2 separate regions of the Mus musculus genome follow, and region 2 is reported to be linked to region 1. Evidence: microRNA targets listed by miRTarBase, many of them from high-throughput screens and not tested one by one. Region 1 holds a microRNA gene; the other region holds the end of a gene's coding sequence.
The links. The annotated mature microRNA mmu-miR-425-5p reads AAUGACACGAUCACUCCCGUUGA and lies in region 1 at 2,506-2,528, shown strand. An mRNA with a match to its seed (bases 2 to 7 or 8) in the 3' UTR can be bound and repressed. Matches are read on the target gene's strand: a 7mer-m8 pairs with bases 2 to 8, a 7mer-A1 pairs with bases 2 to 7 and ends in A, and an 8mer does both.

Region 2: the mRNA of Clock is a reported target of mmu-miR-425-5p. Seed matches in the 3' UTR shown: 7mer-m8 at 3,502-3,508 and 7mer-A1 at 209-215.

The regions. Positions count from the first base shown.
Region 1 is chr9:108,566,284-108,571,655 of GRCm38, forward strand. It overlaps Mir425 (microRNA 425), which reads left to right and starts at 2,494; the gene lies at 2,494-2,578. It overlaps Ndufaf3 (NADH:ubiquinone oxidoreductase complex assembly factor 3), which reads right to left and starts at 1,153. Exons shown (of 5, transcript NM_023247.2): 1 at 568-1,153; 2 at 273-468; 3 at 58-124. The coding sequence starts at 644. It overlaps Dalrd3 (DALR anticodon binding domain containing 3), which reads left to right and starts at 3,609. Exons shown (of 12, transcript NM_026378.3): 1 at 3,609-3,792; 2 at 3,867-4,162; 3 at 4,281-4,531; 4 at 4,609-4,688; 5 at 4,762-4,890; 6 at 5,163-5,236; 7 at 5,330-5,372. The coding sequence starts at 3,628. Mir191 (microRNA 191) reads left to right here and starts at 2,036; the gene lies at 2,036-2,109.
Region 2 is chr5:76,211,943-76,217,314 of GRCm38, forward strand. It overlaps Clock (circadian locomotor output cycles kaput), which reads right to left. Exons shown (of 23, transcript NM_001289826.1): 23 at 1-4,936. The coding sequence ends at 4,757. Among named protein-coding and RNA genes, the nearest start is that of Tmem165, 31 kb to the left of the region's middle.

The DNA of each region.
Region 1 (5,372 bases):
TGAGGGTCTGATAGAGAGGTGGTCACTTAGGACCCAGTGCTACCCACTGCCCCATACCTATCCTAGGTTCCAGCATCCAGAAAAGGGAGAAGCTCTCTTCAGTGATATCCTGATGAGATCCCACCTGTATGGTAGCAGAGGCCATTCAACACATCAAATCTATACAGCCTTTACTCACAGCGACACTAATAGGCAACAAAATAAAGCTAAATTTGCTAGGAGGGAGTGGCTTCTGGCGCTATTTAAATTTCAATGTAGGGGAGAAGGCTCACGTTCCACTGGACCACCGTCTGTGGGAGCAGCACGCAAGGGCCAAACACGCGATTTCCGCAGATAGTGAAGCCTCTGCTACTGTAGCTGTCGATGTACACGGCCTGAGGGAACTCGCTTTGCAGCAGTGAGATGCGAGTCCGCTGGTATAACTCATCGTCCGCCGGAGAAAGCCGGTGTCCCCGACGCGGGTTCCTCCTGCGGAGGGCTAAAGTCAGGAAGTCGTGGCCCGGCCGGACTATGCGGGATTGAAAGGTCCGAGGCCAAGTGGTCAGAGGCTGGACAGGGGATGCTCACCACAGCCGGTCGACGTGCCGACAGAGCGGCGCAGGTCGCGTTCGGAAAAGGCAGCGAAATCCTAGAGCAGTAGCCATGGCTGCAACGGCGCTTAACGACCCGGTCGTAGGGACAGAGTTGTCTGTCTCAAAGTAGCCACAGCGCCCCTTGCGTCCCGGAGGGCACCGCGCACCTTGAACGGCGCAGTAGGCCAATGCAGAGCCTCTGTCTCCCCATGCGGGTGTGTCAGCACCTGTCGCCCACCCCGCCCCATGCCTCCAGCGACAGTCCCTAAGGAGGAGGGGGAAAAACACCTGCTAGTACGGGCGCCCTAAGGGTATTGTTTAGGCCACTGCCGCGGCCTGTTCCTGGGATTCTCAGCCATTATTCGGGCTCCCAGGGACCAGGGCGGGGCAGCTGCGCACCTGGTCCTGTTATGAACACCTGGCCAGGGTGTGGTGCCAGCCTCCAGGCCCTTAATCCCAGGCTTTGGAGAATCGGGCTCCGGGGGCGGGGCAGATGGCTAAAATTTCCCTAGCTAGTCTCGAAATCGCTGCTTTCCCCAACCGTCACCAGCGCGACCGTTGGCGACGGCGCAGCGCTCCATGAGAGGCGTGGCCGAGCATGGATTGGCTTCCCGGCAGCGCGAGGGGGTGTGGCCAGATGGTTTCTCCTTAAAATGGCTCCAAGTCTGGGGACAGCTAGAGCCAGCGGAAGGGCACGCCGTGGCAGTGCTGGAGTAGCTGTTCGAGTGGGACTGACTGGGCCAAACCGGACCAGACGTGAAGTAGACCGCGCCTGGAGCACCACCCCGCCCTTGCGCGCTCTGCGCGCGCGTACCGAGAGTCTCCCTCCCCCTGTCTTGAGCTGAGTCTAGGGCCTACTGGCGCATGAGTCCTTGGCGTCCCGCGGCATGGGCATCTCTGCGCACCGGTTCTGTCCTGGCCTCAGAGGAACTTTGTCGCGTTCTCTATCCGCTGGACTAGACGGGTGGGATGCTTGACACAAATGGGGCTTGGCTGTGGGGTTCTTTGCAGGGCCGGTTGCAATGGGCTTGGGGGGAGGCTGTCCTGCCGCTGCTATGTGGGCCAGTTTGGCCCCTGGCACTTCATGAGCTGGCACCGTCACCAGACAAAAGGTCCTAAGCTTTGGGGAGTCCCAGAAGTGGACACATGGGTTTACTTCCTCTCGGGTCTCACGGAATCGCTTCCCTCTTGACGGATTCCGAAGCCTGCCCGGTACAAGTGGCTCCTGCTTGGGACTCACAGGGCTAATCCAGCCCTTCTGATCTAATCCGGATCAGGACCTCGTCCCGGGGGATGCCCCCACCTTCTATTGTTCTGGGGCCCAGGTGAGCGTCTCATTCTCACTAGACTGGTTTAAAACACCTACTCCTTCCTACTCAGCCCACTGGGAAGGGATGGGCGGGTTCCGGTTTGGCCTCAGGGCGAGTGACCTGGGAGCAAGAGCCCTCCTCCAATGGCTGGACAGCGGGCAACGGAATCCCAAAAGCAGCTGTTGTCTCCAGAGCATTCCAGCTGCACTTGGATTTCGTTCCCTGCTCTCCTGCCTGAGCAGCGCCCTGGCCCAGATAATGTGGTCTCTATTCTCAGAAACACTACACTACTGGGCCATTCTGATCTCCATCTCTCAGGTGCACCCCCAGACTGATGGTGGCAGTCAGAGGCGACGAAAAAAGCTCGGGCTGATGGCCCTGTCTGGAATCCCTGGAGAACTCTGACCAGGGAGGTCCTGGGTCCTCTCTCTGAAGGGCCGCAATGGCGGTGAGTCCCACAAGGCCGCCCAGCCCGCAGCTCGCTAAAGATAGATCTTCACTTCCTGGGGAAAACCCACCCCAACCGTCTTCATGGAGGGAGAGTAGCTAAAATCACCAACTTGCTGGTGGGTCCCAGCCCTGCTAGCAGCTGAACCCACACCACAGCATGGAAAGTGCTTTGGAATGACACGATCACTCCCGTTGAGTGGGCACCCAAGAAGCCATCGGGAATGTCGTGTCCGCCCAGTGCTCTTTCGGCACCTCCCAAACAGGGCCTCATAGCCCCGGCCTTCCCGAACTTTTCCTATCTCTAGATGTCACTCCTCTCCGGAGCAAAGTTCACCGGTTGGATTCATTCATTACTGGGGGAAGTGGAGTTTCACGTTACTTGGAAACGAAAGAGTTTGGACATAGAAAAGCTCACCTGCAGCTTGCTCTACCTGAGAGCTCTGCTTATTTGGGTCTTCTCATCATCACATTTGTCTTAAACTGACCAGTTGCCTAAAGAACCAAAGGTGCCGGTAACACCAGTTTAAAGGAAAAACATTAAAGGCTGGTAATCCTGGAATCATGATGACTAATTCCTCGGGTATCAAGATGGGCAATTCTATCCGATTGGGCTTTTACTGGGAATAAAGACATTCCATACCGCAGCCGAGGAAAGGCGTACCAATAATCAGAACTCAAATTTTGCTTTGTTTCGTTACTTTTCCAAGTAGGCGGTAAAGAGTCTTTAATGGAAGACACGAGTGGTGGCACACACCTTTAATCCCAGTACTCAGGAGGCAGAGGCAGGTGGATTTCTGAGTTCAAGGACTTTCTGGTCTACAAAGAGTTCCAGGACAGCCATGGCTACACAGTGAAACCCTGTCTTGAAAAACAAAGTGTCATTAATGGTACAGCCTTATTCCTTTGACATTTCGTCTCGTGCGTCTGGCCTTTAATTTGTTTAAATGGGGCAGAAAAAGAAAAAAGAGACATAAACACAAAGATGTGAAACTTTGGTGGCAAAGTGTCTTGCCTGGTAACAAAGATCCGTTATCAAAGTAATAATTCGGGGTGACGATTTTTTTAAAAAGGAGGAAAAATGGACCCTCAAATTTGGAGGTTAGGGCTCATGAATACAGGAAAGGCCATCGGGAGGGAGAGCTGGAGGCGTGGGTAGAATGTAAGCTCACTTGGCATGCTCGATCGCTCTGGTCCATTCAGGAGAGTCCACGGCCGGATCCCCGCCCCCGCCAGGCGGACCTCCCGGAAGCTCTACGGATAACTTACTTCCTGTTCCATTTAGTCTTCCGGTCGCCATGGCGACCGGGCGCCTTGGGGTTGGCGAGACGCTGGAGGCCCTTAATGCAGCTGTAGGGCCTGGTAGCCCAGTGTGGTTTAAGGAAACCCATGCCCGGCACCTTCGTGTTCGAGACTTCTTGGCACCGCGAAGCGCGCTACAGGCGCGCTTCAGGGACGGCCAGGTGGGTGCGCTCCTGTGGGGCATGCCTAGCGGGATCCACGGAACTACGGCCCACTTACACACATCTGCCTGCAGGTGCCAGAGTGCGTGTTCCGTGCGGTCTCCTGCCTGCAGGGTCCCGGAGTGGCCCCTGTACTGCGCTGCGCGCCGACACCCGCGGGTTTATCGCTCCAACTACAGCGGCCCGCTGTCTTCGAACATGTACTCGGTGCCCTGGCCTCCTATGCTACTCCCGCCAAACCTGCCTCACCAGGCCCGCGAGTTGTCCTACACTGCCCAGCACTGCGCTGTAATTCGGGGACGCTCCGATTGAGCCAGCTGCGTGCCGTGCTCGTAGCCGATCATCTAGTACGGGTACTGCGTGCTCATGGGTAAGTGCGTGTTCGAAGCTATAATGGCAAAAGACCGAACATTTGGGGATAGAAAAGGTGGGAGTCATGATAATCTAAGCCTGGTCCGCAGGCTGAGACAGCCTCCCTTGCTTTGCAGGGTACGTGTGTGCTCAGTGCCCCCGGTGCGGGACCCTCACATGTCAACTTTCCTCCAGAAACTTCGGGTGGAATGGCCCACTGCCTCGAAGAGCACCTCGACCGAAACACTGAGAACCTGTGTTCTTGCAAACCTTAATGGTTCTAAGGAAGCGACGCTGCCCCCTGGCGTCCTAGGCCGACTGTGTCTGAAGGAACTGGTAGAACAGAGAGGCACTGCTGGCTATGACCCCAGCATAGACCACTGTTTGGGTAGGACAAACGGCAGAACATGGGTGGGGTTGTGTCTCTGCACTGCCAGGCACTTCAACACCTCTTGTTTTCTGTAGTGACTGAAGATGTGCTCTCTGTGCTCTCGGAGCTGCAGGAGGCTGTGCGCCACTGGCCAGAGGGCGGCCACCCAGGCCCGGTGAGTGGCTGCCTTGACCTCTGCCCAAACTGGATTTTTGTATCTTTGTAGTAACTGCCCCATCTCTCCTCAGGCTGGGCGTCCAGATGCTGGTGTAGATGACTGCGTGGTTATACACGTGGTTAGCTGTGAAGAGGCATTCCAGCAACAAAAGCTGGATTTGCTCTGGCAGAAATTGGATGACCGGGCTCCTCACAAGCAGGTTGGTTACCAAAGTTAACCAAACCACCTCCGACCTCAGGCCTGGAATACCATGGGGTTTAGAGACTGATGTGACCATAGGCACCCGTGCTACAAGTGCAAATGTCCTGTGACTATGTAGTCTTAAGAAAAAGGATGATGGTGTCTTGAGGAGGTACGAAGGAAGGCTGGTGGTTACAGATTGGGAAAACCAAGGTAGAAAAGCAACTGATATAGTTCCCTGAAGCGGGGAGGGTAGTGCCAACTGGGCTGAGCCCTTCCAGTCTTTCACAGAAACACCTGGTGTGTGGTCCCGTGAAAATGGCTGGTGTACCCGGCACCCAGCTGACTGCCCCTCAGTACTACAGGTGAGTATGAAAGGGATGCCATCCACAGCCACCAACAGCGTAAAGGTAGGGACAGCTTTCACTGAGACCTTGCTTACTGGCTCGCTTTTCTAGGCTCAGACATGCTCAGGTGTGCGAGGCCTCAGCTCTGAAGCAC
Region 2 (5,372 bases), not on the chromosome of region 1:
CTATTATGATTGTCTCTTGGTTCAGCACCTCAGTGTTTGCTGGTGGTGTTGATGGAATCTCAATAGTCTCCACAAACTATATATAGCTATAACTTACTTCACTAGGACATTTTCCTGGGAAAACCCAGGCGTCTTAAAAAATATTGTTGAATACTCAAATCTTTCACAAATTATTATTTCAGAAAAAAAACCAAGGAATGTAGTGTGGTATGACAACGGAAAAAATATGCAAAACAGTCACATGGAAAAAAAGATTTTTAATTTTTAAATATATAAGTTTGCTTAATTTCTGATGAGCTGTTCAACACTGTTTTAAATATCCTGAATTAGTAACTATGCCAACAAATTTACCTCCAGTGTTTCCACAGGAGACATTAAAATAAGACCAAATTATAGTTTTCTTCAACCAAAGCAGTCTTTTCTCAGTCCTTTTTGTGCAAAAATATTACAAGAGCAACTCAAATGGGAACGCTGAAATGACATGCCAACATTTCAGGGCACATTTAAAACACTCAATAATTCTTGAAGTTACTGTATCCTAAAATATTACTACCAACCGTTTATAGATTAGTTCTGTATATCTACTCAGACAGATGCATATTCCTAGACCTCTGAAAATAAACAGGCTCATTGGTCTCTTTTGGTGTCCACACAATAGGCAAGATAGGTTTACAATAGTGTTTAAATCAAACTACACATCTACAATCTCCTGACTCCACCACATTCAAAACAAAAGTCAGAGTTTATTTGGCTACCTTGAAATCATTCCCATAAACCTGCTACGGTTCACTGGACCTGAACATTTCTCAGAAATGTGTCGTTTATCATTTCACCTAAGTGATGATTAGGGATCCTTTAAAAACGGTTAATGCCTAAGATACAAACTTTATCTAAATGAATAATTGCAATAAAGTGCTTATTACCTTTCAAAATGATGCTCTTAAACTGTGGTATGTTGTTCTAAGTGTGTGCTATTCCTCCCATAAGGATCCCCAGGCATGAGAGTCTGATCTCACCTGTCTCAGAAAGCAGCAGCACTATCTTTTGGTAGGTAGGCTGACAGTAGGCACATTACCCATGCGGATGAGGCTGGACTAGGGCTACGGCAGAAGGGGAGGGAATTAGAAAAGTGGGAGGCATGTGGAGGGTTCCTACTACACTCATAGTTATATACAAATATATTAAATATGCTATAAAAATAGTCAACTCTTTTCCTTTGCATTTACTTGAGAAGCTCCTCTTAGAAGAGTGTTCACTCAATCCAGACAAACTTAGAAGGTCTCTTTATGCAATCACTATGAAAATGGCAAGTGCCGTTGTGCTGTTTCTTCACCACTGAGAAGTTCCAGTCAGCTCACACCTGGCTATGCACCCTCAGCAATATTAATATCCAGTGTTTACACTTTCCATTGTGGACTCTGGTACTAAGAACAGGACCACAAGTACTGGAAAGATGATAGGCTTGAACAACTTTTACACAAATGTCTACCAACAAACCTTTAATCACCAAAGAAACAAAAAAAGAAATACTAAAAATCCTATCTGTGTTCCACTTTAAAAAACTGCCTCAACATAGTGGAAACATTTTAAACACAGTAATATCCAAGTGAAAAGAATCTACCTGTGTAGACTAAGGGTCCTTTCTAAGGCTTGAACAAGGCTCATCTCCCTCAACGTGATGCCCATATATGGTTGGACTGCTTCAGTGCTCCCAACTTCCAAGAGACTGCTTTAAGGCAATGACCAACTACTATACAGCACACAGAATTCAAACACTTGCTAGTTAGCCTAGAGTTTGCTATCACAACTATTCAAAAGCACGGGCATTCTTTTATTAGTGCTACATCCCTAAGCCATGTCTATGTGACAGCAGAACACAGCACTCTAAATGCTACCCTGAGGATAGAGCTTGGGGAATGGTCTTGGTGCTCATGTGCAAGCAAGCCCACCTACCACAGTTGCTTTCCTCTCACAGTCTCGTCTCTAAGGAAGGAAAGAGGACTTGATATTTTCAATATTGAGGCTCTGGTTTAACGCCAGCCTCAAGGGCAGCTTTGTGTTTACTGTTCTAATCCTGTGTGTTCAGCAACCCCAAGTCACCCCATACAGAAGCAGTCCAGAGCAAGGTACCTGCAGGGCAATGAGAACCTGTTTGACCTTCATCCTAACAATTTCTTAATTAAAAGGCGCTGCCCAGAATCAAAAATTTCAAAGAAAATCAAATCCATGAAATACAGCAAGAGAAGTTAAGGTTTCTAAGAAGCTGAGAAGTGTTTCTTTTTGGTATCTTTTCATGATTTAGATTTGGGGTTTCAGTCAGCTTTGGCTACAGAAATGAACAGGCAAAAGATGAACTTTCTTCAGAATACTGGAGTCGTGTGGGGAGCAGACAAAGACAGTTTGCCATCCAAAGGAACCAAGAATTAAGGAGCTAAGAGGCAGCTAGTGCTGACAACTGTTGCCCAGCATGCATCTCCGTGTGGACAGCAGCCTTAGCAGCTAGAGTTTCTTATCAACTGCTACTTTTAAGCAGGGAGATGAACTGTGAAGAACAGCAGGCATTACATAACTAGCATGTTGTATCTCCTGTAGCTAAATTCTTATCGCTATGTGATGCAAAAAGATAAACGAGGCACAGCTCCGACTCCGAGGACATGGAATGGCCAAAGAGAAGAAGGCAATGTGGAAGGGAGAAAAGCAATGTGGGTGCTCGACTTACATTGATTTCGTCACGTGTGCACAAACTTGCATAAATGTGTATTCTCACAACTATTTCTGGTATTCGTATGAATGTCAGCTAGAAGAACTCTGTGATATGTGAGTTACTGACTGGTATCTAGACACACTTCTTATGCAGAAGAGTAGGTACCAATTTTCTTTGGTTGTTTTCTTTTTATCACTAACTTGCTAACTTAATTGCAGTCAGGTAAACAGGAAAACAAAGACACACTTACTGATGATGAGAGCAAAGCTAGAGACAGATAGCTGACTCCGAGTTCCCCAAGCCCTGATCTAGCAACTCTGCCTTAGGTTATCTGCACTGCTGAAACCAGTTTAGCACCTCACCATCACATACTTTCCTTTTAAGGTCAATTCTAATGTGCCACACTTATCCTCCCTTTTCTCAGTAATACTTGATATTCTATATCCTACTGATCTTTTGTTCTTTAATTGAAAAACTCATTATTAGTACCATAAAATCTAAAAAAATGCCTTTTAAAATGTATGTAGCTTTGTTGGAGTTTATTACCTGTAGAGAATGATATTGCCAAATGAAATCTTAATGTTTAAAAAGCATGTGAGTTACATTATTCTAGTGCTGCAATGAAAATTAAAGACAACTTGTCCCTTGTCTCTGAGCAAGTATTTACTGGTAATTCCTAAAAGAGTTACTTAGCTTTAGAGGAAGATGCAAACAGGAAACGATTTTGGGATCCCATTCCCAGCTGTGACGCTGTCAGGCAGCCCAAGAGACGCAGCAGTCCTCATGGGGACTTGAGAATGACACTGCTGCTAAAAATGTACTAAGGTTTCAAAACTGCTACTGAAACCAGACAATGAATTCAAGATGGTGAGTTATCACCTGAATTAAAATCAAGGCACTATGGGTTTTTTCCCCTCAAATAACCCTGAATCATTTCTGACTAAAAGAAGCATTGAAATTTTTAAAGATAATAAAAAGATTCCAACAAATCCTAAAAGTTAAAATTCCCACCTCTGAGAATGTTAAAAAAGTGCCTAAAATGTTTTGTGTGCAAACTTTACTCTTACAACTGAAACATTCTTGAAATTACTTTCAGGCTTGTTGAAAACCATTTACATAAATATTCCAACTATGAAATATATCAAAATATGTGATTAAACTCTCAACCAACCATCTAAAATAATAAAGCAGTGCAATTCTCTCAAACATAATTGAAAAATAATGAAATAAGGGATATTTCTGAGTAAGTGGAAATGTAGCAATAATTTAACCTTAAAAAAAATCCATTCCCAGCAGCACATTGTTACCTCACTGAACAAACTGTGACATCACAGCCAAAGCACGGACAAAAAGACTTGTGCCCTGGAAAAGTAACGAGAACACTACTGTGTTGTAAACAAAATGAAAAAAGAGAGGTTGTTATCAGTTTGTACATGGTGTCAAACCTAATGAAATGCACTCATACCTGTGAGGGACAGATAATGCTTTCTGTATCAAAGTGGCTTTCTCTCCTCCATCCAGACACAGAGACACTACAGCATCTGTACACAGTGAATTCAAACCTGCACAACATTCTCAAAGTCATCACGGTTCCATCATTGTCTGAACAGGGAGAGGAGTTTGGGGTGGGGACTATTAACTACTGGACTATCTTCATGGCATTCTAAGCAAACCCCTGGCAGTGGTGTGCCCTCTGTAATATTTGATGCAGGCACAGACCCACTAAAGCTACCAACACTGTTAGTGCTCTTCGGATTCAGTAAAGATCTGGTTGATAGCTGAGCTTGTTAGCATTTGGCAATATACTCTTTCTATCAAAAAATACCTGGGCAAAGAAACTGTCAGAATTGGCTGTGTCCCTATGACCATTTCCCACTGGCTGGTATTTAATGGACATCTGAAGCACTGGGCAGCACTTCCCTACCGTCTCATCAAGGGACTGAACACTCAAGACCACCCTCGTGAAACTGTTCAACTTCTGACCGCATGCCAACTGAGCGATTCTTTCTGGCCATCCCCTTCCTCTCGCATGTCAGAGAGGAAGTGTGTGTGCTACTGTGGCTGGACCTTGGAAGGGTCAGTCAGGCTGTCAGTCCTGTGCCGAGGAAGCTGCTGTTGCTGCTGAGGCTGGTGTTGCTGGTGGTGCGAAGGAGGGAAAGTGCTCTGTTGTAGTGGAAAGGCAGCAGAGAGGATGAGCTGTGTCGAAGGATTCCCGTGGAGCAACCTAGATGTCTAAAAACAAAAAGGATGATGCAGTCTGGCTTCCTGCCTTCACACTCGTCAGTTCACACTGCCCACAGCCCACAGACACAGGGCTTTAAACTCTCATTCTGTTTGCTAATCTAAAAACTATTTTTGGAAAACAAAAACCTTGCCTTCTTTCTGAACACGTAAGATTTGACTTTTTTGAGGAATTCTTGATGGGAATTTCATGGTACAAAGTATAATCTGTCTTGAGACAAGCCACATATTTTTATTTCCTACAGGCCCAAATTCTAAGCAGTAAACTAGAGCACAGCTGTGTCTGGATAGGACACGAACACTGCCTGGTCAGACTGACAGTGCACACAAGTCTGCCTGTTGGTAAAGAATCAATTGTACTCCCAGTGTGAGAGATAGAGACAGGATTTCCGAGGCTCACCAGCCAACCAACCTAACCTAGTGAATA